Rattus norvegicus: one gene and its partners. The protein of the gene in region 4 interacts with the protein of the main gene of each other region in a biochemical or structural test. Links are inferred from orthologs where the notes say so. Each region holds a gene or a part of one and is shown on either strand. Other genes may lie near its edges.

Region 1 (4,203 bases), on a different chromosome or scaffold from region 4:
GCAAGCACACAAGTTACTGAGTCAGGTCTCAGCCTTAAAAAAGAAAAAAATCAGTTTAATAAGAACGCTGGGCGCTAAATTTAAAAGGTACTAAAACGGGCCAACGTTGAGAGAGCTAAGAGATTGCTGCAATAACTCAGGCAAAAACTGACACTGACTTGGTCAAAGTCAGAGCAGAGAAATAGGCAAGAAATGGGTGAATCCTGAAACAATCTATACCAGTGGTTCTCGACCTTCCTAATGTTGCAACCCTTTAATACAGTTCCTCATGTTCTGGTGACCCCCAACCATAAAATTACTTTTGTTGCTACTTCATAACTGTAATTTTGCTACTGCCTTGAGTCATAAATGTAAATATCTGATTATGCAGGATAGCTGATATTCGACCCCTGTGAAAGGGTCATACAACAGCCCCCACAGGGGTCACGACCCGCAGGTTGAGAATTGCTGATGGAGACAATACAGTGGGATGTCCTTGTTTTGAGAATCTGCAAGTTTTCATTACAACCTTTTTCCAACCAGGACTTTAAGGGTTCCCCAGTAGACTTCAATTGCAAGCAATGAGAAGGCCCTGAACTGCATTTAAAGTCACACAACAAATGTCAATGGTAATATCATTAGGACAACGGTCAAAAACAATATGTCACCCTCTCCAGAAAATTATTCACAGATTTTATTTAATGGGTCGATTTCAAAGAGCATACCTGGCACCTGCTGCTCGTACTAACGTGTGAAGCTGTTTATGCCCACATCCCCACATTTTTCCTTCTGTGCTAGCTAGCTAGCTCCAGAGGACACGTGCTCTTGTGTGCCATTCTTGCTGACTGTGAGAAAGAATAGAACCAAATCCTTCTACGTGAGTGTCAGGGCACTCGTTGGTTTTCCCCAAAGGTACTTTCCTCACTCCCTAAAACTCATTTAATGTAACAGCCACCATCCAAATGATTCGAACAGCACAGTTAATTCATTTCTTTCAGCAACACACACACACACACACACACACACACACACACACACACACACTCCCCCTCATTCTGGCCTTGTAAGCATTTGCTTATAGAAGCAAAAGCAGGGACTGCTCAGTAAAACACTGGTCCCTTCAGCCACATGCAGATAAAGCTCTAGTGAGCATAACCAACAATACGCCTTACACAGTGTCACTCAGAGCACCCAATACACCCCATCTACGGTCACATACAAATAGCCTTTATGAAAAGAAGCCACTAGTGAAAGGCTGAGTTTATGCATCTTGATGCCTAACACATTTCCTTCCACTCTGCCACAAGCATGTACAAAAAGCCTGCTCGAGCAAGAGCAAACTCTTCCCAGAGTTTGTTCCCATTACTGGATTCAAGGTCCTGCCCCAGCCCCGAAGGAAAGGAACCTGGCTCCACTCTCCAGCAGTTAAGACTCAGCTTCCTTCTCTCCCAAAGCAAGGATTCTGCCCCTCACTTCTGCCTCCCTGGCTCCTGAAAGGGAGGCCCTCCGCCCCTTTGCCAGGTAGGAAGTGGAGACCTCACTCATCCAGACCCTAGACAGTCGAGGTGATGATGCTTCCTGGGTTAGCCTTACTTCATCTCACAACCGAAAGGGTAGAAACAAAGTCACAGATTCCAGTGACTACCCCCTCCCTCCATAAACATTACAAATAAAAAGGGCTTCAAGGGTCCAGAGTGACCAAGGAGAGTTATAACCAATTCTGCCAGACAAGTAGCAATGAAGGGTGGTGTGAGGGATAACAATTCTGCAGAGGTACTGACTGTTAGGAGGCACCAGACTAGAGAGCATCTTCACTCCAAGCCCAAAGTTCTTGAAGCACCTGGAGAATTAAATGTGTGTAGCTGCCAAGGAGATCATTCCCAACCACCACAGGCCTCTAAGATAGCTTAATTGCTCCCTCCCTTCCTTTAGCATTTGCAAGGAAGAATGGGGAGACACGCCCACCCGCAACCTCCCCCCCCACCCCCCATCCACCCCACACACACTACCTCCCGCCCAGGGCGCGGGTGCTGTTCTGTGGGAGGTGGAAGGTAAAAGCCAGGTGAACTTCACTTAGAGGTCTCTCTAAGTAGTATGTCCCAGGGGGGCTAGACTACAAGGGAAGGCCAGTTCATTGCTACCCTGAAGCATCAGATCTCCATCCACCCCAGGCTCTCCCTCTCGGAGCCCATCAGCCTGCTTAGGATCTTCAGAAAAATTACTCCTGGTAGCACCAGATCACCGTCCCTGTCCGGTGCTCCTCCTACCCCACCTCGCGCCGGGTACCGCCCCAGCCCCCATCCAGCTCAGCAGCTGGCATCTGCAGTCAAGGGTCCCCAAGCCTGGATGACCCATCCCAAGAGACTCACGGTGTCCCAAGAGTGCCACTGTCAGATAACCTGGGATGCGAGCAAGTCATCTGTGAGCAGGACCCTAAATGCCAGGGGCTAGGTCGCCCTGTACCCCAAGCAAGGGCACGGGGTCCTTGTCCCAGAGCTATCCAGACTGGCTGTTCTCCTCCCAGGGTAGCAGGCGCCGGGCCCTTGGGCCTCCTGCCGCGCCTCCCTCCAGCTGTCACCACTCACCTGCTCTTCAGAGGTTGACTTTTGAGTTCGTAATAGGTTTTGGGTTCTTCGTGAAACTCCTCCCCGACTTCGAAATCCGCCACGATTCCCGATTCAGACTGCATGACTCCTGCTTGCCCGCCTTCCACTGCTTGGGACTTGGACCAGAACCCGGGCACCTGACAAAGATGGGGAGGGCCTCGGGTACCCCAAGACGCGCGCCCCGCTCAGTGCCCCACTCAGCCCGCTAGCCCGCTGCCCGCCCCGGCGCGGTGAGTTTACTCTCACACCAGGGCGGGAGGGGCCGGGCCCGGTGCGCTCTGGGATTTGTGGTTCTGCCCAGGCCCAGCATACCAGCTCTCCAGGATATCAGCTTCCGCAAAACTACAATTCCCAGAAGGCCAAACCGGGGAGAGGCAACGTGGTGTACACCGATAGTGCAAGTCCTGTTTGGATTCCTTGTCAATGTCAGCAGCTCCTCTCCGTGTCTCTCCCGTTTGCCTCAAGGATACAGACCTGGCTGTTTAATATTAATAAGAACGGACTCAGTCTGGGCTTCTACTGTCCCTCCTGGTTTAGACATCTGCGAAGACACTCGGAGCGTTCATTCAAAAAAATAAAACACTAAGGGGTTTTGACGCTAGAAAGTTTCGGTCAGAGTTAAAGCCCATTTTAAAAATAAAAGTGCTTTCTATTCGCCCCCGAGCTCTTCTGGGCTGCAGCGACACATCATTTTGTCCTCAATTGGAACAGAGTGTTGGAAACTTCACTTTTATAATGAAAGCGTTATTGGAGGAGTTGTTCTTGTGCCTTCCTTTTCTGGAACTCCTTCTGGGCTCCCAGAATACTCTTCATCCGTTGAAAGGCTTCTTTCCTTTTATCCAATTAGTCACCTCTAATCTAAAGCAGCACTTGAAAGATTCAGTTAATTTTAAAAGGCACCAAGTAACCAAACAGCTCACCACCGTCTGCTTTCAATTTCTCAGTTGGCTGGGAGTTCAAATGAGATTGTCCTAACATTGCATGCCGGTGCAGCTTCGAGGCACTCGGTTAGGTGATTATTAAATGGCTGCACTTTGGTTCATTTGTATGTCCAGACCTGTCTTCTGGTTAGTTCCAGCAGGACTCTTCATCGTGTATAAACAACAACGAATGCTTTGAGATATCGGTGTTAAGGGTGGCATTTTAAGATGGTAGAAATCCCCAGTTGTTCTAGGAAATCCTGTGCAATCTTAGACATGTCTGTTTCATTCCTAGAAACCTTAATTTCCTCATCTATGAAAGAAGAGATTAGGAAACCTGTTTGAGATGGTGTTGCAAGGTCAAAAGTAAGAAAAAAAATTACTTGCAATTTATATGCACTGGGGGCAGGCAAAATGGTTCAGCCAGTAAAATGTGTTTATTTGCAAACACAACCTGCAATTGATCCTCAGGACACTCGTGACGAAAGTAGGGAACTGTTAACTCCTGAAAGCCAACTTCTAACAGACAAATGCAGGTGCCCACACACATGCACATGCAGCAGACACACATAATACATGCATAGAACTTGTTAAAAGCTATTCAATGACTATTAATCTTGGCTTTCTTTCGGCTATCTTGAAGACATTCTTTGCAAATTCTCACCTCTTCTGTGTATTTTCACTTTCAGAAAATATAA
Region 2 (4,008 bases), on a different chromosome or scaffold from region 4:
ACTCAGAGTCCCTTTCAGTGTCTTAGTCAAGATATTTTGCTTAACAAAACTAGGGGGAAATGAGAGGAGGGTCATTTAGTTTAGACTCCTCTTGTCATTCTCTAGCACACACATAAAAGCCTTCTGAAGGTGAAATACCACACCACACTGAGCAGGTCCTGAGTGAGAAGTGGTAAAGGAGTAGCTCCCTTTGTCCTTGAGGACTTTGATATGTCAAGTTATGACATATCAGGGCATTGTGACATATATGTATGATACACATGTAGCTCATACGGGAAAGTAGTGGCTTCCCTTTCCTTGGTAGGACTTTTGCTGTAATTGTGACATATCAGGGAATTGTGACATATGTGCGTGTCACCTCATAGGTGTTTGTGCCACTTTGTCTACTCTGGAGCCTTCAGTCAACAGAGCTTAGGTCTCGTCCAGCTCTTGAAGGGCTTACTGAGGTGGAACTTTGCAGCTTCTTGAGTGCTCTTTGATACCAAAGAGCCACATTTTCCTCTCCTTTCCAAAATGGATCTGGAAAAGTTAACTGGAGGAGGAGGGGGAAGAAAGGAGGAAGAAAGAGAAGAAAAAGGAGAGCAAAGTGAAGGGAAAGATTCAGTTGGAGAAGGAAGAGAAAGAGAGGAAGGGGGAGAAAGAGAGGAGGGAGGAGAAAGAGAGGAAGGCAGGGGAGCAGTGGGAAGAGAAGAGGGAGGAAGAGGACAAAGAGATCAAGGAGGACAAAGAGAAGGAGAGAGAGAAAGAGATAGAGAAAAAAGTGAAGGAGGAGAAAGAGGAGGAGAGGGGAAGGAGGAGAAGGAGGGAGAGGAGAGAGAGGGACAAGGAGAAGGAAGAGAAAGGTTCCGGGAAGCTAAGGGAATCAGTGACTGGTCTTTATTCCTAAGTAAGAAGGATTCTAAGTCCCGCAGATTGGCCATGGTTTACCCGGGCCCGCTGTCTGAGCCACTGCTGGGGCCACCATGTGAAGGTAGGCACGAGGGGGGCGCTGGAGGGCGGGCGCGGATAATAAAGGCCAAGGTAAAGGAGGCGCGGGCCAGGAGGCGCGGGCGCGCTGGAGGAAGGAGCGCTGGCCCGGGGCGGACGCGGGGCGTGGAGAGCAGTGACTGTGAGGCTGGGCTAGGCAGTGCTGACTTTAACCTGGGCTGCGGAGGCGGGGGAAGAAGGCTAAGGAAGGGGAGGTGTGTGGGACCGGAGTGGGTGGGGGGAATTGGAAGCAAATGACATCACCTCAGGACTGAGTAAAAGGGAAGAGCCAAAAGCATTGAACGGGTCCTGGATATCCAGAAGTCGAGTCCAACCTGAACCTGTCCGGACACAGACCTTAGTGCACCACGGAGACATCATGCAGAAGTCGCCTCTGGAGAAAGCCAGCTTTATCTCCAAACTCTTCTTCAGGTGAGAGGGTGCCCAGAGGATCTTTCAGGGACACGTGTGCCCATGCCAGAGAAGGGAATAAATACGGGCAGACTTTGGGAAAACAGGAAGAGATTTTTGTTGAGTTTTGTTTTGCTTTAAAGGTGTGTTGTCATTCATTGCTTTAAAGGAACTATGTATTTTGTAGAATGAAATAAAACTGATGGAACAGAGAACAAATATATATTTGCACCTGGAATCAGACTTGCAACAGCCAAATATGCAACAGAGCAATAGATTTTTTTAAATTTCCTGAAAACAGTTATACATCATAAATGTACTTAATAAAACATTAAGATTGGTCCATTGTTTTCTCCCAGAAAAGTTTGTCTGCAGGTGGCGCGCCTGTATATAATAGGTGTTTGGAAAACGTTTATTGACTCAGGTTTTTAAAAATCAAGGAATTATACTTACTTTTGCTGTTATAATATTGAGTAAGACTAACATGCTTAGTACAGTTACAGTATTCTTCTTTAAGAATGAGCAAGTCAGTTAAAATACCTAACTTTAGAAAGAAATACTGTAAGCAATGCATTTGAAAATTCAGTTACTCTGGGGATATGAGACTAGGGTTCTAGCCACTGACGCTATATTCAATTGATACTTAGGAGATTGTTCTCTTATCCTACCAAAAAAAATTAGAATCGAAGTTGGAAGACCTAGGCAAGTATTAAGCACTTTGTATATGAGGTACTCTGTGGAGCTTCTTGTACTCAGTCATGTAGTGTGAATGAATGAAGAGAACAGCTCTCTCATGGGTCCTTAGCTGGCTCAACCCCACCCCCAGTGAATCAGCACACTAAAGTATCATAAATGTGGAATATGTTCTAAATGTGCCCTGTGGTGTGGGTACGAGGCAAGGCTCAGCCTTCAGTCCTTTTTCTGCAGGTCTAGAGCTCAGGACTGAGGGGAGGCAAGTGCTTCTACAGGAGAGCTCCTCCCAGTGGATGGGAGAGAAGGTCCCTCTTTACTCTTTAGAGTGGATATTTGTAGTGCCTTTTCTTACTTCGTCTATAAATTTAGCTTATCAGCCTGGATCTAATTTCTTACTACTTACAATATCAGATTGTCAATTGACATAAACTTTAGACTTTCACCAGAGCTTATTGAGGAACTTAAATGTCAATCTGCCTGAAAAGGCAAGTTTTCTGAAGAATGAATATCTCTTGTGTGTTTCCCCCACTAAGTATTAAGAAACTTCAAAATTTTTCACTTATCAAAGTGTTTCAAAAATTTCCCGTTTTTATAATCCACCTAATACATTTTAGTGTGCTTTACAAATGTTCTTAGGCAGATTTGGAAAGGAAATGTATTATAATGGCTGTGAAATTTGTTAAGAACATACTCATTTCTGTTCTCCAAATGATTTCATAATCAGTTGCTTTAAGAATAGGTGTGTTTTTAAGAGTTTAGTTCCTCCTATTTATAGGAGCTGACATTTAGCTAAGTACCAGTCAGTGATTATAAACTTCCTTCTGGACTATACTTTTCAAAGGGTGAAAACCTTTTCTCCACTGGATTAGGCAGTGTGCTTAGTGTCCAGGGCAGTGGGCTCTGGAAACTTTGCATTTTCATATAGCTTTAAGAAAAAGATCATGCCTGTTGTGTATCTGTTAGCATATGCATGTGTGCGTACACACATGAACATGCACATGCACATGCACATGCTTGCTTTTATGCCCACAGAGTGCAGTATAAGATATCCTCAGAAGAGCCATCATCTCCTTTGAGACATGTCTCTCATTGGCCTGAATTTCACCAGTTGTTAGACAAACTTGTCAGCGAACCCAAGGAGTGTTACTGTCTTTGCCTTGGCAGCAATGAGATTGTAATCATGTGTCGTCACCTTGCCCACCTTCTCATATGTGTGCTTGGGATTGAACTCAGCTTTTCATACTTGGGAAGCATGTTACTTTACTGACTGAGCTATAAACAGTTTCAACAAGTTAGGTAGCAACATTTCCATTCTCTTTCTGATCCATGCACAGACACTATCTTACGTTTGCTAAGACTTAGGTTATCCAAATCCAAAGGCCACTTTTGATATACTGAGGATATGGTATTTAGAAAACTCAGGATAGCTGTCCGTTTAGTTGATGGATGCCATCCAGTGGCTACAGCTCCAGAGTTCCATGCTATCATTTGGCTTTTCTTTGATAGAATTGGAAGAATCCACATCTAGGATGGAGACCCTCTGTTTCGACAGTGGGCAAGCACTGCCCAATGTTAGCTCTGTACCAGTCCCTTAGGACTCCTGTTTATTTTTCACTGATCATGTTTGAATATTACAAAGCTTAGAATTTTCAACTTGGGATTTATGTTAGGTTTTTGTTAATTTTGTTTAGTTTAATGCACAGTTCTAAGAGTACCACTTGTACACAACATGATGAAATTGTCATTTTGTGTATGTAGTATATATGGGTGTGTATGTGTAATAAATATCCCTATACAGTGAAATTTATTTTAGTTGATATCACAATTATTAAAATCTCTTCCAAGGTTTTATAGCACGTTAATACACAATATACTTTTAATAGTCAATCCATTGCTCCTCAGAGCAGAGGAAGCTATAATTATTTTAAAATAACTTCA
Region 3 (4,122 bases), on a different chromosome or scaffold from region 4:
GGCAAGCGTTCTACCACTGAGCTAAATCCCCAACCCCTTCCACTCTTTATTTAGCTATGCTGAGTTCCTCCATTTTAGCTTCTAGAATAGTAAACACTAATAGATCTGTTATATGAACAGTGATGTTTCAGAGTCCTAAATAATTTTTAAGAAAAAGGCTGCTTTGCAGACTTCTGTGTCCTTTAAAATATACACAGGGAGATTTCTGGCATATCACACTGTTGTTTGGTTGTTCAAAGAAATAACAGCAAAGACATAACTGACAAGATTTGACATCCTATGATCTTTTAAAAATCCCTTGAATCTCAGCACTCTGGAGACCGGGGCAGGGGGATCTTTGCATTCAAGCCCAGCCTGGTCTACAGAGTTTCAGGACCGCCAGGGCCACACAGAGAAACTCTGTTTCAGGGAAAACAAACAAAGAAAAAGCAAAACAACACCCAAAGTTGTTTTCTTGTGCACAAGCACCCAGTGTACCCTCTCCCCCTACACACACACAGGTGAGCCCCCCACAAATACACACATACTCATATATACAGAACGATATATGAAAAATGCCTATATTTACCATTTGGCCCAAATTTTACCTCAAGGTGTTTTACTTTATGGAGGTAAAGAAATTACTGTTCCAGCCCTATGACCAATACAAAAGCAAGCCAGTGCCTATCCTAGTAAACAAACGGGGTTGTTTTTGAAGGTGACTGGTCAAATGGTAAAGAAATGACCGTGAGCTTGCAAATGCTACCTGTAGAGTTTCAAAGTGTCAATCATATCTACAGTGATCACTTAAAGAATTAATGCCGGCCGCCGTTATCATCTAAGATGTATTTGCAGAGGTCAGAAGAGCAGTGTCTGTCCTTCTCCATGCCAGAAGCAAAGACATCAAAGGGCCATGTCACAAGCTACAGTGGACTTAAGGTGGTTTGGAGATTTTTATCCACTAAGTATGATCTCCTGACCCCTTGGGTTTACAACTTTCCACTCTCTGGGCTGCAGAAGAACCCCTCCTTTTCTGAGTTAATCATTTCTTTGCCATTATCTGCCCAGAGTTCTTATCTCTCTTGCTGTCACTTTATAACAGGGTCCTCTTATCAACCGGCACAGGGTCATGTGACCAGTCAAAGCCTATTGAAAGCTTCCTTTCTTGTGATTAGAAACCATCATGAAACTGGAGCCATGGTTTACAGCAGGTCACGAATGCTGGAAAAAGTACAGAGTCCAGGAGAGCATGGCTTGGGCCTTTCTGAATTCTGTTTTTTTCCCCCTTTTTTTCTTAACTTTCACTAAGGAGATGAGGGTTACGGTAGTCTGAGGCTTCCTTCCCCAGGTCACAAAATATGACAGGCTGCAACCTTCCCCACGTTCAATGATTTCTGCAGTAAGCCAAAGGACTGCCAATAATTTCGCTAAGAATGTCTGCTAGTTCGATTACTGGGGATTTTCAAGACTTTCTTAAGCATGGACTTCCAGCTATTGGTAAGTAGGAAGCCACTCTCTTAGCATCTGGCTGTTTGCGCTACTCCTGGTGGATTTGTGTTTTAATGCAGTACATTGCCTGTGGTGATTATTAAAAGCACACAATAAGCCCGCGCATAGTATCACACATTTATTTTTCTTGACATTGAAAGAAGCAAATGAATAGTTCAACACATGAATATCATTTACTGTATCTGGTGTTTGGGGATGTCATTGTATTAGATCGATGTGGCAAAAACTTAGTTTTTGGAGACATGGTTTGTGTGTAGCTCTGGCTGTCCTGGAACTCCGTTCTGTAAACCAGGCTGGCCTTAGAGATCCACCTGCCTCTGCCTCTGCCTCTGCGCCTCTCTGCCTCTCTGCCTCTGTGCCTCTCTGCCTCTGCCTCTGCCTCCCAAGTGCTGGGATTAAAGGTGCATGCCATTACTGCCCAGCAGAAAATATAGTTTTTTAATCATCTATGTCAGCCTTAATAATTTCTGATCGTTTTGAATCAACCCATGCCAAGTAAAATTTTGAACAGTTTGAAACAAGCAAATAACATCAATCAGCCATTGGTCAAAAAACTGACAGGGAGCTTCCCAGCACTGTGACATTTCAAGGTATCGGACCATAAGATGTCTCATTCATTGTAAGCCTATAGAAAAAAAAATTTTTTTTTGTTGTTTCTTGGCATTCAGGAAAAAACAAAGTCAGACTGTGACTGTGACTTGCTTTTATAGACAGAAATAACCATATATCCTCCCCATAAGTGGAATGTTTGGGCACATTCTAGGAAAGCACTCAGTCACTGGGCTACATACCTAGTCACTATGAAGCATCTTGGGATTCCTTGTTGTTGATTTTGGGGGATGAGTGAGGTTTGGGTTTTGTTTTTGATTTCCTGAGAGACAAGGGGTCTCTCTCCTGTCTCTCCATAATACCGGAACTATAGGTGTGAGCCACCATGCCTGACACACTTTTTTAAAGGATAGACATCCACACACATACATTTACACCAATATAGAGCCATAAATTTGGTGGTTTTTACCATAAATTTAGTAAATTTAGGATTACAACGCGCCCCTTCTGCTTCCTCTGGACAGGAGCCAGGGTCGACCCTTCTCCTGGGGTCCTTGCGTCTTCAGTGATCGCCAGTTCAGTCTCAGAACAGGATAATCAGGGCCCCAGCTCTGTCCCTTTCTCTGGGGGCAGCCTGCTGACTCCACCTAAGGCACTGATTGCTTTTTTTATGGTCCAGCTACGCCCTGAAGTATCAATTGAGGAAATGTTCACCAAAAAAAAAAAAAAAAAAAACGTTCTGTACTTACAAAAAAGAAAACACAGGGAAGCGAGTGCCCTGGCTCTTCAGAGGGCAGGGACACTAGAGGCTCTGTGAGCTTTGCATCCACCAAAGGCTGAGCATTTATTTCACTTTGCAACACGGCGCTGGGTGCTGGCTAGCGGGCTGGCGGCATGCAGGAGAAAAGCTTGCTCAGTGCTCACACAGGCGCAGGGCTCCCTGGGACCTGGGACCACACACGTGGTGCTCTCGCTGGGTCCCTAGCCCACCCTGGTGAATTTAAAGATGGCAAGGTAGCTAGCGGAGTGCAGACCGCAGTCGAGCCGAGCTCTTTTGACCCAGTGCACCGCAGTAGTATTTCAAAGGCTCCCCTGGTACTGAGGCCAGATGGAACTAGAACTGATAGACCTCCAAGGGGCTGCTGGGGTCATACCTCCCCAGAACCGTATGAAGGAGCCTTTCCGACCTTGACCAGCTTATACACCCAAACCTCAGGCTTGCCTAAGCCCTTCAGATCGCTAGATCTCAAAATAACCATTCAATTCTACCAAAGGGATAGGGGGAGAGAGTAGGAAAAAAAGGAAGGGAGAGAGGAGGGCGGTGAAGAAGAGGTCGTGGGGGCAGAACCTGTCACCAGCATAGTAGCTATGTAGGAGTATTTAGGCATATTTCTCCTGGTTTTATAGCCCTCTAGATAATTTGGAGAGTGTTCCCACATCTCGGTGACTGGAAAGAAACTATAGGCACCCAGATTCCCATCTGTTTACCCAGGATCACTCCGGTAGCCTTGGCAGGGCTGAGCTGTCTGAAAGCCAGGACAGTGAGACACCTTCAGACCCGGGGCTTGAAGAGGCTGAGACCATCCCTGAAGGAAAGCTGATCTTTCACTGAGTCTTTTTCCATTGCACTGGGCAGGCCCACTGAGGTGGACACCCTGCCTACCCTTGGGTAGCTACAGAGCTCAGAACCTGGGTAGTTTGGAGATGGCAAGCTACAGGCAGACTCCTGAAGAGAGGAGTTGAGGTTTCCAACACCCAGCTCTGCTTAGCTGTTTTAAGTGTTTGAGACTTGAACCACGAAGCCAGGGAGCTAGAAAAGACTCCTGGTGCAACAAATTCTGGCTTCAGTCCTTGATTTGACTCCTCTGCCTGGCCCATTGACCAAGATGATCTGAATTCAGTCATGAACTCTCTTTAAGCGTCAGACTGACCCTTTTGCTCCACAGCCCCAACCCCCACCCACATGTTCCTACTTCTCAGTCTGACCCTCCATTGCTCTTTACCCAATAGGAAGGAAAACTTCTCTGGGAGAGTCATTTGGCTTCAGGGGAATTCAAGAGTTGGGGGAGACATGGTCCTCCTGGG
Region 4 (3,500 bases):
CAATTAAAAGAATGAATCACAGGGTTGGGGATTTGGCTCAGTGGTAGAGCGCTTGCCTAGCAAGCGCAAGGCCCTGGGTTCAGTCCCCAGCTCCGAAAAAAAAAAAAAGAAAAGAAAAAAAGAAAAAAGAAAAAAAAAAGAAAAAAGAAAGAAAGAAAGAATGAATGAATCACCAACAGTACGGCAAAAAGAACTCAGACAGACAAGAAAATCCCAAACAGCAGGTAAGATTCCATCCAGTGGTTCCCAATAAGCCATGTTTAAGCACTCCTGGGGGACCCTGCAGCAGGCAAATCTCTATTTACAAACCAGCTCAGACCTGGCCTTACCCTGGGCAGAATGGTGGTGGTGGGCACTGCACACCCAAGCAAGTTGTGCTGCACTGAGATCAGTTCAGCTTTCTCTTCTAACAACAGGTCTGAAGGCCACAAGCACAGCCTCTTACTGGGATGTGGGGCATCCAACAGAACACAACAGACGGGAATGAGTGAGATTCTTCGCTCTCCTTTAGTGCTTTGAATTGAACTCAGCACCTGATGTATGCTAACTAATCTACTGGGAACTTACAGACCCCTGTTCTCCTACTCCCCTGTGGCACCTGTGGGCACAAAAGCACCCAGGAGCTTAAGCCTGACACAACTCTCCCTCTGCCTCGTGTGGTACATCCCGATTGGTTGGGACTAGAGACCACTCTAATTATATGCGCCTCTACCCTGGCTTGTCATCCAAGCCGGCTCAGCAGTACTGACTTTATCCCAGCACTGACACCTGTCTGCTAGACCAAGCATCCATAGACATGGCTCCCAAAGGGTGGCACTGGGAAGTGGACTGCCGGCTCTCTGCACAACTTACATTTTGGTGGTGAGGACGGATAGTCATCTTTGAAAAGCATCCGTAGCTTGAACAAGCCTCCTTCCCACGGAGTCTGTGGGGAAGGAACCAGAGTTAGACCTGTGGCTCACTTGCCAAGGTGAGCCAAGAGAAGTTTCCTTAAACCTGGGTCCTTCGGGCCTGTTCTCTACACTATTACTGTCCCCCTAGGACCAAAGAAGACCCCCACCATGCCTATGAGGAGCTTGGCAGTTGCTGGAAAGCTTAGGATCCACAGTTCTTGGGTGTCTGAGACACCAAAAAGCTCAGCAAACAAAAGCTAAGCCCAGCAGCTCGTACCTGCACTATTCAAGCCAGCACCTCAGATCTATCAAGGTGGGGAGAGCACACCACTCGCCACCAGACGGTTTTCCTACTCTCAGCTCATGTGATGGAAGCACTACAGTGCCCATGCCCCAACGTGACTTGAGAGACAAGCACACCCTGGCACGTCAAAGACCCACCTCACACTCACAACAGAGCCTGTACAGATGAACCCAAACTACGGTTTTGCTCAGATACTAAGCTGAACCCGGAGGCCCAAGTTTGGACAATGTCTGAAGTTAAAGGAGACCCTCCCTCTCACATAGGCTGGAAAAGAGTAGACAACTGGATGCACTGAGGTCAATGTGTGTAAAGAAACACAGCCTGTGCTCTCTGTGGACACTTTACGACCTTCACCAGCTCCTCACCTCAAGGCTGGTCACCAATCCAATGATTTGCCAGGGTCCAAGCCTCCCTACCCCACAGGCCACTCCTTATCCTGGGGAGAGCTGTGACCTGTGGCTAGCTGTGGTCACAAATCCATGTACTCAGGTCCCTATAGTAGTTCAGCTCCCTTGAACCTCTTAAGTTAGTAGGTACAAAGCCAGTGGTCACCCTTACCCCCTTCTTTCCAGGGATAGCACACTCCCAGTTCATCAGGTTCATCGTGCCATCAGGGTTCTTTGTTGGGACAGCCACAAAGCCCTGAGAAAGAAGTCACAAAACAAACCAGCTCAAGACAACAAGCCTGGCTCTCACCCAGTGGCCACAGGCTGAGTATACCAAGTCAACGGAAAGCCCCTCCTGTGACCAGACACAGGCTGCTCCTTACAAAAGGGTGGTCCTTCCTCCAGGCTTTCCTCTCCTGCGCAAGTCGGCTGAGGGCAATCCCCGACATATTCAAAGTCCCTGGAACGGAATCCACAGAGGGAGGGTTAGGTAAAGCACACACACATCTTCTAAGCCACATCCCACCCCAGCCAGAGAGGGCTGTCACCAAGAAGCAGGTAAATGAGGTGGAGCCCAGCTGGTCAAGCTGCCCTTGGAGCAAGTGCGAGCATTGCACTTTTGACCAGTCCTCAGAACACCTCCAGGCAGGCAGGTAGAGCACCAGTGCTGTCTCTCTTGTGCTCTACAAACTCAACTGCTGGGAGGTACAGTGAGAATAGCCTGCAAAAAGGCTGTCCCCTCCCTGGCAGGCATTGAGCATCAGCGAGACTTAGCACCCACTCCACAGTCAAACTCTCAGGACAGGTAGGGGTTCGCAGGTACCTCACACACTCATCTGAGGCTAGGATGTGTCTTGCTGGTTCACCAAGCACCATATAAAACACCACAAAGGTAGAGTACTAGCCTGGGAGTTAGAGGAGGGTTCAGGAACAAGGGCCCTGAGACCCCGGCTTAGAATCAGGTCCAACAGGAGGACAATCACTACTCCTAAATGTACTAGTGAGAAAAGTCCGCACCATAGGGCAGAGCATGGCAAACTTCCATAGGCAGACTACCCCAAGAGGCCAGACTATCGGCCTGCAGCTTATCAGCTCACAGTTCAGAGATCTGCCCTATGACCCTATGGGAACGAAGGCAAGATCCAGGTCAGGCCAGCAGCCTCTGCCAGGGACCATCTTGGCACACTTGGACTCCATTCAGCATGGGTGAAGGAGCATCTTCACCTAGGACCGCAGCCTGTTGTTTTGACTGTGACTCCAACCTGGATACCACCTGCTTGGGTTTTTGGTTTTTTTTTTTTAAACCTCTATATCCTTTTTAATATTACTTAAAAAAAAATCACATGAAACAGTAATCAGAGACTCCCAAACCTACAGAGCACTGGGATTTTGGGGTGTGTGCATCACAGGGACACGACCCCTCATGAACAAGAATCTAGTAGGGCAATAGGTGTTTCATACCGAATTGCTTCTCAGAGGTTCCGTTTTTTCTTTTCTCTTTTTTTTCTGGAGCTGGGGACCGAACCCAGGGCCTTGCGCTTGCTAGGCAAGCGCTCTACCACTGAGCTAAATCCCCAATCCCAGAGGTTCCTTTTTTGACCCCAGCTTCAGGCTTCTATTGGTCTTGTGGGTAAAATCTCCCAGCAAGACTAGCACTAGCCTAGTCTTTTGTTTTCAGCTCAAAGTCTTCACTCTGAGGTGGAACCTTCAATTACCTCTGGACAAGAGCAAGATTCTTGCTAGAACACACTCCTGTTACCACCTCAGACAGGCCTCAAGCAGACATCCCTAGAGTTCCTGCTACTTAGACTTAGCTCAGGCTGCCCATTTTACCTGCAAAGCCATGACTACCCTAGGAATTACTGTGTGTTCTTGACCTAGCCAGGGCCTCTCAAGCTTACACAGCTGCCCGGCCAT
Region 5 (3,500 bases), about 2.8 Mb from region 4:
GTCCCTTTTTGACCTCAGCTAAGTAGTAAAAGTAGTAGCAGTAGCTTGTAAGACAAGCTTACACATGTTCTACCCTAGTGGAGGTATTGAATAGGAAAGATCAGTTGGGTGTAGTTACTCTTTGGTGCTCCCATTTACACCATCCCATGTCTTCTGAAAATTCATATAAATGAGCAGGTTTTCCCAAAGCAAAGGACTGGGTACCGAACATGCAGGATGGAGCATAGCACTCCTGCCAGTGGAATCCTGGGAGTGGTAGAGAAACTCCTCTGTTGCTTAGATTGTGAATTAACATCCAGGAGAAGTAACCGGACATACAAGTGCCCTGGCCAGGCTGGGAGGATTTCATCCTTAGCCCTCTGGAGGTAGTAGCCTATGGCCCAGGTGCATATGAGGTCTGTGGAACCCCATAGCCGAGGAAATGGGTGTTAGTCTAATAGCTTTATATGTGGTTGCAGGGCAGTCAGGGTGACAGCAAGAATGCCAAGAAAAAGAACAACAAGAAGACCAACAAAAACAAAAGCAGCATTAGCCGCGCCAACAAGAAGAAGCCCAGCATGCCCAATGTTTCCAACGACCTGTCGCAGAAGCTGTATGCTACCATGGAGAAGCACAAGGAGGTAGTGCATAGGCTGGTGGGGGTTCTGAGGGTATTCAGTGCCCAGAGAAACAACAGGCACCTGCCTGCGAGGTTGAGCTTTTCTGTATAAGTCTGGGACAGGAGAAGGTGGAACAATACTTGTTAATATATTGTTTGGCTTGTTATCAGTTAAATTCCATCCCAGGAAACCAGAGCCTCAAGCAGTCCCTAGGTTTGGTTATCCTCCTGTTCCATAGGAAGATGTGGCCTTGCACTGGCACACACTGCTTCTCTGTGGGGATAATACAGCTCCTCCTTTCAGGTCTTCTTTGTGATCCACCTGCATGCTGGGCCTGTCATCAGCACTCAGCCCCCCATCGTGGACCCTGATCCCCTGCTTAGCTGTGACCTCATGGACGGGCGGGATGCCTTCCTCACCCTGGCCAGAGACAAGCACTGGGAGTTCTCTTCCTTACGCCGCTCCAAATGGTCCACTCTGTGCATGCTGGTGGAGCTGCACACACAGGGCCAGGACCGCTTTGTCTATACCTGCAACGAGTGCAAACACCATGTAGAAACACGCTGGCACTGCACTGTGTGTGAGGTAAGCCCTTCCACCTCTCTCCTGGCCTTCCTCCATATGCAACATTGTTCCCTGCAGCATCGGGAATGGATGCAGGTGTTGGCCTCTGTGACCTACATTGTCTGTGCTAACCCTCCCAGGGTGAGGAGTGGCACCCTTGTAATCCCTTTCTTAATCTCTGCTCTTGTCCACCACAGCTACAGGCTATATGCCGAGGCAGCCTGACTGGAAAGAGGCTATGCAAAACTTTAGCTCTACAGGGATTCTGGTGTATTTATCTCTTTCTAGCTTTGCTAAGTGATTAAGGATGCCTTTCACCCTGCTGACAGGTTGGCACTTTTGATTAGGTCCAATGGCAGGATCGCAGAATGTGGTTAGAAGACTTGATGTAAGCCACTGGCAGTTTCACTGCCTCCTGCCCTGTGGGTAGCTTGACTTCACCCTTGTAGAGCTTGTCTTGGACAGGTCAAAGGTTGCTTAGCCCTTCTTCTTTGCTTACCTTTTCAGTTCCTGCCCCCTGTTGTCATCGGCCATATCCCCTCTTATCCTTCTCTATTGTCCGTTTTATAGACAGATAGACTGGCAGGCAGGCAGACAGACAGACACGCACACGCACACGCACAAACACACCCACACCCCTACCCTCTCAATCCTCTTTCTGCTTTACTGATTTTAGGATTTTGTATGTGCTTTCTGTGAGCACAATTTCTAGGCCCAGCCATAGGACGTCATCTTCAAATGTGTATTCTGTGGGTGGGTGTGAGTGTGTTATTTGTAAGTAAACATATTTGTGTATATGAATACAGAGACCAGTGGAGAATTACTCTATAGCTCTTTACCTACCTCATTTCCTTAAGAAAAGAAATGCCACTGAATCTTGAGCTAGGCTGATTGACTGACCAGCGATCCCAGCAGTCCTCTTCGTTCCTCCTTGTCTTGTGCTGCCATTAAAGCTCACAGCCATACCCAGATTTTTGTTTGAATGCTGAGGATTGAGACTCAGGTCCTCTTCCCCACTGAACTATCTCCTAAGCTCCTATCCTTTGGATTTAATGCTTCCTTTTTAGTTTCTACGTTGAAGTATCTCTCAGCCACCAGGGCTTCTGTTGTTGAGGAAGGATCATTTTGATGATGCCTCTCTCCGAGGGATAGTGTCTCACAGTCCACTAACAGTGCTTGGGGGAAATGACCCTAGTGTTCTTAATCCTTGCTGTTAAGTCTAAAGCACATGAAATAAAGAAGGAAGGTAATCGTTAATAACTGGATCAATCATTAATTGGTCCTACAATATGCCCCATGCCTAAGGGTGTCTGCTCGTGCTGTGCCTGTGCTAATGCGGTTTGTTCCTCTTGTCCACAGGACTATGACCTTTGTATCAATTGCTACAACACAAAGAGCCACACCCATAAGATGGTGAAGTGGGGGCTAGGCCTAGATGATGAGGGCAGCAGTCAGGGTGAGCCACAGTCCAAGAGCCCCCAGGAATCCCGGCGTCTCAGCATCCAACGCTGCATCCAGTCCCTGGTGCATGCCTGCCAGTGTCGCAATGCCAACTGCTCGCTGCCATCTTGCCAGAAGATGAAGCGAGTCGTGCAGCACACCAAGGGCTGCAAGCGCAAGACTAATGGAGGCTGCCCAGTGTGTAAGCAGCTCATTGCTCTTTGCTGCTACCACGCCAAACACTGCCAAGAAAATAAATGCCCTGTGCCCTTCTGCCTCAACATCAAACACAAGCTCCGCCAGCAGCAGATCCAGCATCGCCTGCAGCAGGCTCAGCTCATGCGCCGGCGAATGGCAACCATGAACACCCGCAATGTGCCTCAGCAGAGTTTGCCTTCTCCTACCTCAGCACCACCCGGGACTCCTACACAGCAGCCCAGCACACCCCAAACACCACAGCCCCCAGCCCAGCCTCAGCCTTCACCTGTAAACATGTCACCAGCTGGCTTCCCCAGTGTAGCCCGGACTCAGCCCCCCACAATAGTGTCTGCTGGGAAGCCTACCAACCAGGTGCCAGCTCCCCCACCCCCTGCCCAGCCCCCACCTGCAGCAGTGGAAGCAGCCAGGCAAATTGAACGTGAGGCCCAGCAGCAGCAGCACCTGTACCGAGCAAACATCAACAATGGCATGCCCCCAGGGCGTGCAGGTATGGGGACCCCAGGAAGCCAGATGGCTCCTGTGGGCCTGAATGTGCCCCGTCCCAACCAAGTCAGTGGGCCTGTCATGTCTAGCATGCCACCTGGGCAGTGGCAGCAGGCACCCATCCCTCAGCAGCAGCCGATGCCAGGCATGCCCAGGCCTGTAATGTCCATGCAGGCCCAGGCAGCGGTGGCTGGG
Region 6 (2,643 bases), about 72 Mb from region 4:
AGCCAACCTACTGACCACTTCGGCTGCTTTTTAAATGTGTTCTATTAGTGGTAACTTTGGCCTTCCCAACCAGAATGTAAGTTTCTTTTTGACGAGAACCCCTTTTAAAAACTTTATGTGTGTGTGCATTGAAATTCATATGATAGAGGGGTGGGGATTTAGCTCAGTGGTAGAGTGCTTGCCTAGCAAGCGCAAGGCCCTGGGTTCGGTCCCCAGCTCCAGAAACAACAACAACAACAACAACAAAAAAAGAAATTCATATATAATCTCTGGGGTCCAGAAAGGAATTACACTTCCTTGTACAGTATCTTGTAATGGGCATGCTTGTTGAATGCAAAAATTAAACTTGTTTGTATAGTGTCTGTGATGGGCATGTGTGTTGAATCCACACTAATTCTTGCTTCTTTATACCTTTAGCCCACTTACAAGAAGCGCAGGTTGGATGAATGTGAAGAGGCCTTCCAAGGTAAGAGCTGCTATCTAATCAGCACACTTCACCTGCTGACTAGCCGCCCTGAGATGTAGGATGGATCTGGACTTCAGGAACTGAGGTCTCATTTAATTTCCAAGGTTAACAATCAGCAAATCCTCCTGGCTCAGTCATTTAGTCTTCTGGAACGCCAAGAGGGTCTGGTTGTGTGGATACCAGGGAGGATGCTTAGAGGCCCATATTCCGTGCCTTAGTTTCCCCGTAGGAGTAATTGCTACCTGATCCATCAGGGGTGGTGTAGTCACTTAGAAGAGATTATTACATCCAGCTTAAGGGAAGAAGGAAAAGGTGGAGGCTGCTCTTACTTTTTCACTGCAGTGAACATGTGTCCTTGACATATCTTCCAGGAACCAAGGTGTTTGTGATGCCCAACGGGATGTTGAAAAGCAACCAGCAGCTTGTGGACATTATTGAGAAAGTAAAACCTGAGATTCGGCTGCTGATCGAGAAATGTAACACGGTGAGGCAGGGGTTCGTGCCCAACGAGCGCCTCTGGAACTGTGGAATGATGGGAGGGGTTGGCAGGCTAAGGCCTTTGATTCCTTTGCCCTGGCATCAGTCCCCACCAGCAAGAATCATGTACTTCGGGGGCCGGAGAGATGGCTCAGTGGTTAAGAGCATCGACTACTCTTCTAGAGGTCCTGAGTTCCCAGCAATGACATGGTGGCTCACAATCATCTATAATGAGATCTGATGCCCTCTTCTGGTGTGTGTGAAAACAGCTACCGTGTACTTATATATAATAAGTAAATACATCCTTTCTAAAAAAGAATCATGTACTTCCAAGCCTAAGTAGGAAGGACCAAGGTCCTTCTACAAGTATTTTGTCTTCTCATGCTCTAGGTCAAAATGTGGGTTCAGCTCTTGATTCCCAGGATAGAAGATGGGAACAACTTCGGGGTGTCGATTCAGGTAGTGTGCCCGCGTTGCAAACTCCGCTCCTTCCCTGCTTGCTTTCCCTTGCTCTGTGGTGCTGCAGTAGATGGTGGGGAAGTAACCTGACTCACCTGTTTATCCCCAGGAGGAAACAGTTGCAGAGCTAAGAACTGTCGAGAGTGAAGCTGCGTCTTATCTGGACCAGATTTCTAGGTAAGGTGGTTTGCGCTGGACCTAGGAACAGGGGATGGTGAAGTGGGAGGCGTGCTCAGGGTCCAGGCCCAGGAATGTGGTTGGTGAAGTGGGAGGCGTGCTCAGGGCTCCCTTCAGCTGCTTTTTTTTCCTTCCAGATATTATATTACAAGAGCCAAATTGGTTTCTAAAATAGCTAAATACCCCCATGTGGTAAGTAGGGTTTTGTGGTCTGAGGTGGGGTGGCAAGATAGAGAAGAGAGTAGGACTGAGCAGCCTGTGGGCATTTGGGCCTTGGAAGACGAGCCTCCCTACTCCCCATGCAGGAGGACTATCGCCGCACTGTCACAGAGATCGATGAGAAAGAGTACATCAGCCTCCGCCTCATCATCTCAGAGCTGAGGAATCAGTATGTGAGTACATCAGTCTCTGCCCAGAGTTGTCCTGCTTCTCATAGGCCTGTGGTGATTTCTATAAATCTGGGGTCGGAATGAAAGGAGTCCAGAGATGGTGTCTGTCTATGGTGCCATCTTAGGAGGTTGAGCAGTAGGACCCAAAATTTGAGGCTGGCCCAGGGTACAGAAATAGCTGTTTATCAGCTGGGAGTAGAGAGCATGAACCTCTGAGGGAGTCGAGTTGGGTGTGTGTGTACTAGCTAGGTGGAGGTGCTACACCACACATGGATGCTTAAGCACAGGCCTTGGTGCCAGAGGTGGCTTTACAACCAAGTTCTCCTGCGGGATTCATCTTGTTTGTCCTCAGATAAGGTCTCACTACGTATCCCTGGTTGTCCTGCAGCTCACTGTTGGTGACAGACTTTAAAGTTCCACTGACTTGGGGTTGGGGATTTAGCTCAGTGGTAGAGCGCTTGCCTAGCAAGTGCAAGGCCCTGGGTTCGGTCCCCAGCTGGGGGGGGGGGGGGGGGAGTTCCACTGACTCTGTCTCTCAGTCTCTCAAGTGATGGGATAAAAGACATCTTAATCTGCTTGATTTTTTGTTTTTGTCTGTGTGTCAGTGTATGCACATTTGAGAGTGCAGGCACCTGTGGTCAGCAGAAGAGGACATCAGATTCCCTAGAGCTGGAG
Region 7 (3,500 bases), on a different chromosome or scaffold from region 4:
AATACACCGAACTTTTTTTCAAAATTATTTTAATATTCATCTCTTCAGAGGCAAGATGGTCTCAGATTTCAGGCTTTTTTTTTTATTTTACCATAAATGAAAAAACATAAAAATTGTGTGCACCCAAAAAACTACACAATTATAAAATTGTAGGGATTAATTAAATTCCAGGCTTCTTTGTGGTATGGAGACTGAATACTGAGCATTTTTTACTATGCAACATGAGTGTACGTGGCCTATGCAACCCAACTAAGATTTTCATTCTGAGTCCACTGACTTCGTCTCCAGTATCAAGTGTGCGATTTTTATTCCTACCCATATATCTAGTGGCCATAGAAATATTCTCCCAAAAGTCTTACTTGTGTTGCTTTAATATCTAAAGTACGACCTTTCGTACTGAAGTCTGAATCTTTCATGAATTATTCACAAACTAGATGTTTATATGTGCAGAAATTATCAATAATATTTTGGAAAAAATCAGACCACCTGAACATTCCCAGGAAATGGAGTCCATAAATATACATTAATTTATTATACCTACTTATTTCACTTGACAAATGAAAATTAGAGCTCTTCTGCAAGCAGAGTTCTTATACTCTTACCTCCAAGTTTTAGTCATATAATATAAATAACTATTCAACATGCACCTAGGTACCGATCATGAAATGTCTACGCTGTATGCAGTTCTTGAGCTGAATGGAAGCCCGCATTCATTTTAAGTAGACTGGGATGGGAGTTCAGGTATCTGAACCAAACATGAGAAGGAATTTATCTTTTCAACTGTTTTTCCTGTGATCAAGTAAGGAATATGCAGAGATCATTGAAACAGAAGAGTAGAATTAAGGCCAAAAACTTCCTGTGATGATTTCCTGAAATTTTTTTCTCACAGTCCTGACTTAGTCTCTGATACAAATATCATATATTTACCTTTGCAAATCTTTACAAATATGTATGTGGTAGTCAGCTTAAAGCATCATGGCAAGACACTTTAGGCTGACTGAGTGACTTATAGCAACAAAAACTGGTTTTCTCACGGTCGTTGATGGGGGATGGAAGTACGAGCCTGGAAAAGTCTGGTGAGGACTCTTCCTTAGTTCCTTAACTTCCCCTTGAGAAGACAGCTGTAGACACCATCATGCTAAGTCTTTGATACATGAACTGATCCAAGGGAGAAACACGGTTTGGTTCTTAGGATAGAGCAATGCATAGTTTTTCTTTGTTTTGGTTTTTCCTACTGCCAATACTTATCCACCAAATGACTGTGTCGAAGTATCTTTACCTAACTCCAGAGCTGATGTATTTTAGAAAAATCATTTCTTCAAATGGTTTCCTCGTACTTTTCATTAGTGGTGACAGTCCCCAAATCTCCTTAAGTCTGAAAACACTGCTTTCAAGAAAATTAAACTTTTCTGTTCCTCGGCCACACCCCTTCCAAGATGGATATTATTTATTTTTAGCTTAAGACACTACGTTTTGGTTACTTCCTCTGATCTTGCCTAGTGAGGAAAGAAGAGATTAGTAGCATAAAGGCTATCCCTGCTCTGAATTTCAGTGTGGTTGATATTTGTGAGGAATTTTCAATGCATTTAATGTATTTTTTAACGTTTCTCTTTTATGTATTGTGTGTGTTCCCTGCAGACTCCCAGGCCTTTAAACATCATTAAACAAAACAACGGCGAGCAGATTATTAGAAGACGGACAAGAAAGCGCCTTAACCCAGAGGCACTTCAGGCTGAGCAACTCAACAAACAGCAGAGGGGAAGTGGGGAGGAGCAGGTCAATGGAAGCCCCTTAGAGAGGAGGTCAGAAGATCACTTAAGTGAAAGTCATCAGAGAGAAATTCCACTTCCGAGCCTGAGTAAATACGAAGCCCAGGGTTCATTGACTAAAAGCCATTCTGCTCAACAGCCGGTCCTGGTCAGCCAAACTCTGGATATTCACAAAAGGATGCAGCCTTTGCACATTCAGATAAAAAGTCCTCAGGAAAGTACTGGAGATCCAGGAAACAGTTCATCCGTATCTGATGGGAAAGGAAGTTCTGAAAGAGGCAGCCCCATAGAAAAGTACATGAGGCCTGCAAAACACCCCAACTATTCTCCACCAGGCAGCCCCATCGAAAAGTACCAATACCCACTTTTTGGAGTTCCTTTTGTACATAATGACTTCCAGAGTGAAGCTGATTGGCTACGGTTCTGGAGTAAATATAAGCTCTCTGTTCCTGGGAATCCGCACTACTTGAGTCATGTGCCTGGCTTACCAAATCCTTGCCAAAACTATGTGCCTTATCCCACCTTCAATCTGCCTCCTCATTTCTCAGCTGTTGGATCAGACAATGACATTCCTCTAGATTTGGCGATCAAGCATTCCAGACCTGGGCCAACTGCAAATGGTGCCGCCAAGGAGAAAAGCAAGGCACCATCAAACGTAAAAAATGAAGGTCCCTTGAATGTAGTTAAGACGGAGAAAGTTGACAGAAGCACTCAAGATGAACTTTCAACGAAATGTGTGCACTGTGGCATTGTTTTCCTGGATGAAGTGATGTATGCTTTGCATATGAGTTGCCATGGTGACAGTGGACCTTTCCAGTGCAGCATATGCCAGCATCTTTGCACGGACAAATATGACTTCACAACACATATCCAGAGGGGCCTGCATAGGAACAATGCACAAGCAGAAAAAAATGGAAAACCTAAAGAGTAAAACCTTAGCACTTAGCACAATTAAATAGAAATAGGTTTTCTTGATGGGAATTCAATAGCTTGTAATGTCTTATGAAGACTTATTAAAAAAATAATTCATAGAGCCTGCCTTACCCAACATGAAATTCCCTTTTTCTTAATTTCTTTCTTTTGATGAGTAGGTTACCAAGATTTTAAAATGAAACATATGGTCAGTGAGAAAGAATGGAATTGATAGATAATTTTTTAAAAAAAAAAAAGGAGAACTAGAGTGAAAATGATCTTACCTAATGTGTACTGCTGAATCTCTGTACAGAGGCCCAACCAAATTATAGCCATTTGTTTGTAAAGATACAAATGCTCTCTATTGTTTGAAGGAGTTTACATACTATCATGTGACAGCAGTATTAGGCTGGCTATTGGCCCATCCATTCAGATTAGGTTGCCTACAACTTAAAATATCATGAGATCTCAGCCAAAGGAGGAGAAAAAAAAATCTCCAGGGCAATGGAAGAAAAAATGGCACCTCTCAAAGTAGGCTCCTCTCATTGACCATGTTTCAGATTTAGACCTCAAAATGTGAACTGGTTAGGCTTGTTGAGCGAGCAGTAAGAATCGTGACAGTTGGTGGCACAATGCTTTTTGGCCAGCCCTGCCTGTACACACACATGCACACCCTCCTTGATACTTTCGTCCTTTAGATGCTCCAGTACTTGGTAGTCATTTGTTTTACAGTTTAGATCCATTTTGTTTCAAATCTATCCACTCTTAAAACAATGTCCTTAGTGCTTTAGGTAGTAATTTTTTTTGCCAGATATTTCT

Evidence for each region.
Region 1: the proteins of Ube2i (region 4) and Mitf form a complex in vitro, tested with the Homo sapiens proteins (2 studies listed by BioGRID). The link is inferred for Rattus norvegicus from reciprocal best matches to the Homo sapiens genes UBE2I and MITF.
Region 2: of the proteins of Ube2i (region 4) and Cftr, one has a biochemical effect on the other in vitro, tested with the Homo sapiens proteins (2 studies listed by BioGRID). The link is inferred for Rattus norvegicus from reciprocal best matches to the Homo sapiens genes UBE2I and CFTR.
Region 3: of the proteins of Ube2i (region 4) and Nr5a2, one has a biochemical effect on the other in vitro, tested with the Homo sapiens proteins (2 studies listed by BioGRID). The link is inferred for Rattus norvegicus from reciprocal best matches to the Homo sapiens genes UBE2I and NR5A2.
Region 5: the proteins of Ube2i (region 4) and Crebbp form a complex in vitro, tested with the Homo sapiens proteins (2 studies listed by BioGRID, with this or other methods). The link is inferred for Rattus norvegicus from reciprocal best matches to the Homo sapiens genes UBE2I and CREBBP.
Region 6: of the proteins of Ube2i (region 4) and Psme3, one has a biochemical effect on the other in vitro, tested with the Homo sapiens proteins (2 studies listed by BioGRID). The link is inferred for Rattus norvegicus from reciprocal best matches to the Homo sapiens genes UBE2I and PSME3.
Region 7: of the proteins of Ube2i (region 4) and Trps1, one has a biochemical effect on the other in vitro, tested with the Homo sapiens proteins (2 studies listed by BioGRID). The link is inferred for Rattus norvegicus from reciprocal best matches to the Homo sapiens genes UBE2I and TRPS1.

What each region holds. Positions count from the first base shown.
Region 1 is NC_086022.1:131,964,337-131,968,539, reverse strand, and holds the start of Mitf (microphthalmia-associated transcription factor), read right to left. Parts: upstream 2,801-4,203; 5' UTR 2,669-2,800; coding exon 2,565-2,668; intron 1-2,564. UniProt on the Homo sapiens protein: Transcription factor that acts as a master regulator of melanocyte survival and differentiation as well as melanosome biogenesis.
Region 2 is NC_086022.1:47,526,421-47,530,428, forward strand, and holds the start of Cftr (cystic fibrosis transmembrane conductance regulator), read left to right. Parts: upstream 1-1,208; 5' UTR 1,209-1,235; coding exon of another isoform or gene 1,236-1,345; coding exon 1,346-1,398; intron 1,399-4,008. UniProt on the Homo sapiens protein: Epithelial ion channel that plays an important role in the regulation of epithelial ion and water transport and fluid homeostasis. Mediates the transport of chloride ions across the cell membrane.
Region 3 is NC_086031.1:50,982,139-50,986,260, reverse strand, and holds the start of Nr5a2 (nuclear receptor subfamily 5 group A member 2), read left to right. Parts: upstream 1-1,322; 5' UTR 1,323-1,412; coding exon 1,413-1,476; intron 1,477-4,122. UniProt on the Homo sapiens protein: Orphan nuclear receptor that binds DNA as a monomer to the 5'-TCAAGGCCA-3' sequence and controls expression of target genes: regulates key biological processes, such as early embryonic development, cholesterol and bile acid synthesis pathways, as well as liver and pancreas morphogenesis.
Region 4 is NC_086028.1:14,791,755-14,795,254, forward strand, and holds part of Ube2i (SUMO-conjugating enzyme UBC9), read right to left. Parts: intron 2,044-3,500; coding exon of another isoform or gene 2,033-2,043; coding exon 1,967-2,032; intron 1,840-1,966; coding exon 1,756-1,839; intron 926-1,755; coding exon 853-925; intron 1-852. UniProt on the Homo sapiens protein: Accepts the ubiquitin-like proteins SUMO1, SUMO2, SUMO3, SUMO4 and SUMO1P1/SUMO5 from the UBLE1A-UBLE1B E1 complex and catalyzes their covalent attachment to other proteins with the help of an E3 ligase such as RANBP2, CBX4 and ZNF451.
Region 5 is NC_086028.1:11,960,840-11,964,339, forward strand, and holds part of Crebbp (histone lysine acetyltransferase CREBBP), read left to right. Parts: intron 1-458; coding exon 459-620; intron 621-902; coding exon 903-1,184; intron 1,185-2,522; coding exon 2,523-3,500. UniProt on the Homo sapiens protein: Acetylates histones, giving a specific tag for transcriptional activation. Mediates acetylation of histone H3 at 'Lys-18' and 'Lys-27' (H3K18ac and H3K27ac, respectively).
Region 6 is NC_086028.1:86,760,933-86,763,575, forward strand, and holds part of Psme3 (proteasome activator complex subunit 3), read left to right. Parts: intron 1-417; coding exon 418-466; intron 467-837; coding exon 838-950; intron 951-1,333; coding exon 1,334-1,402; intron 1,403-1,511; coding exon 1,512-1,579; intron 1,580-1,716; coding exon 1,717-1,771; intron 1,772-1,884; coding exon 1,885-1,971; intron 1,972-2,643. UniProt on the Homo sapiens protein: Subunit of the 11S REG-gamma (also called PA28-gamma) proteasome regulator, a doughnut-shaped homoheptamer which associates with the proteasome. 11S REG-gamma activates the trypsin-like catalytic subunit of the proteasome but inhibits the chymotrypsin-like and postglutamyl-preferring (PGPH) subunits.
Region 7 is NC_086025.1:83,811,236-83,814,735, reverse strand, and holds the end of Trps1 (zinc finger transcription factor Trps1), read left to right. Parts: intron 1-1,638; coding exon 1,639-2,700; 3' UTR 2,701-3,239; downstream 3,240-3,500. UniProt on the Homo sapiens protein: Transcriptional repressor. Binds specifically to GATA sequences and represses expression of GATA-regulated genes at selected sites and stages in vertebrate development. Regulates chondrocyte proliferation and differentiation.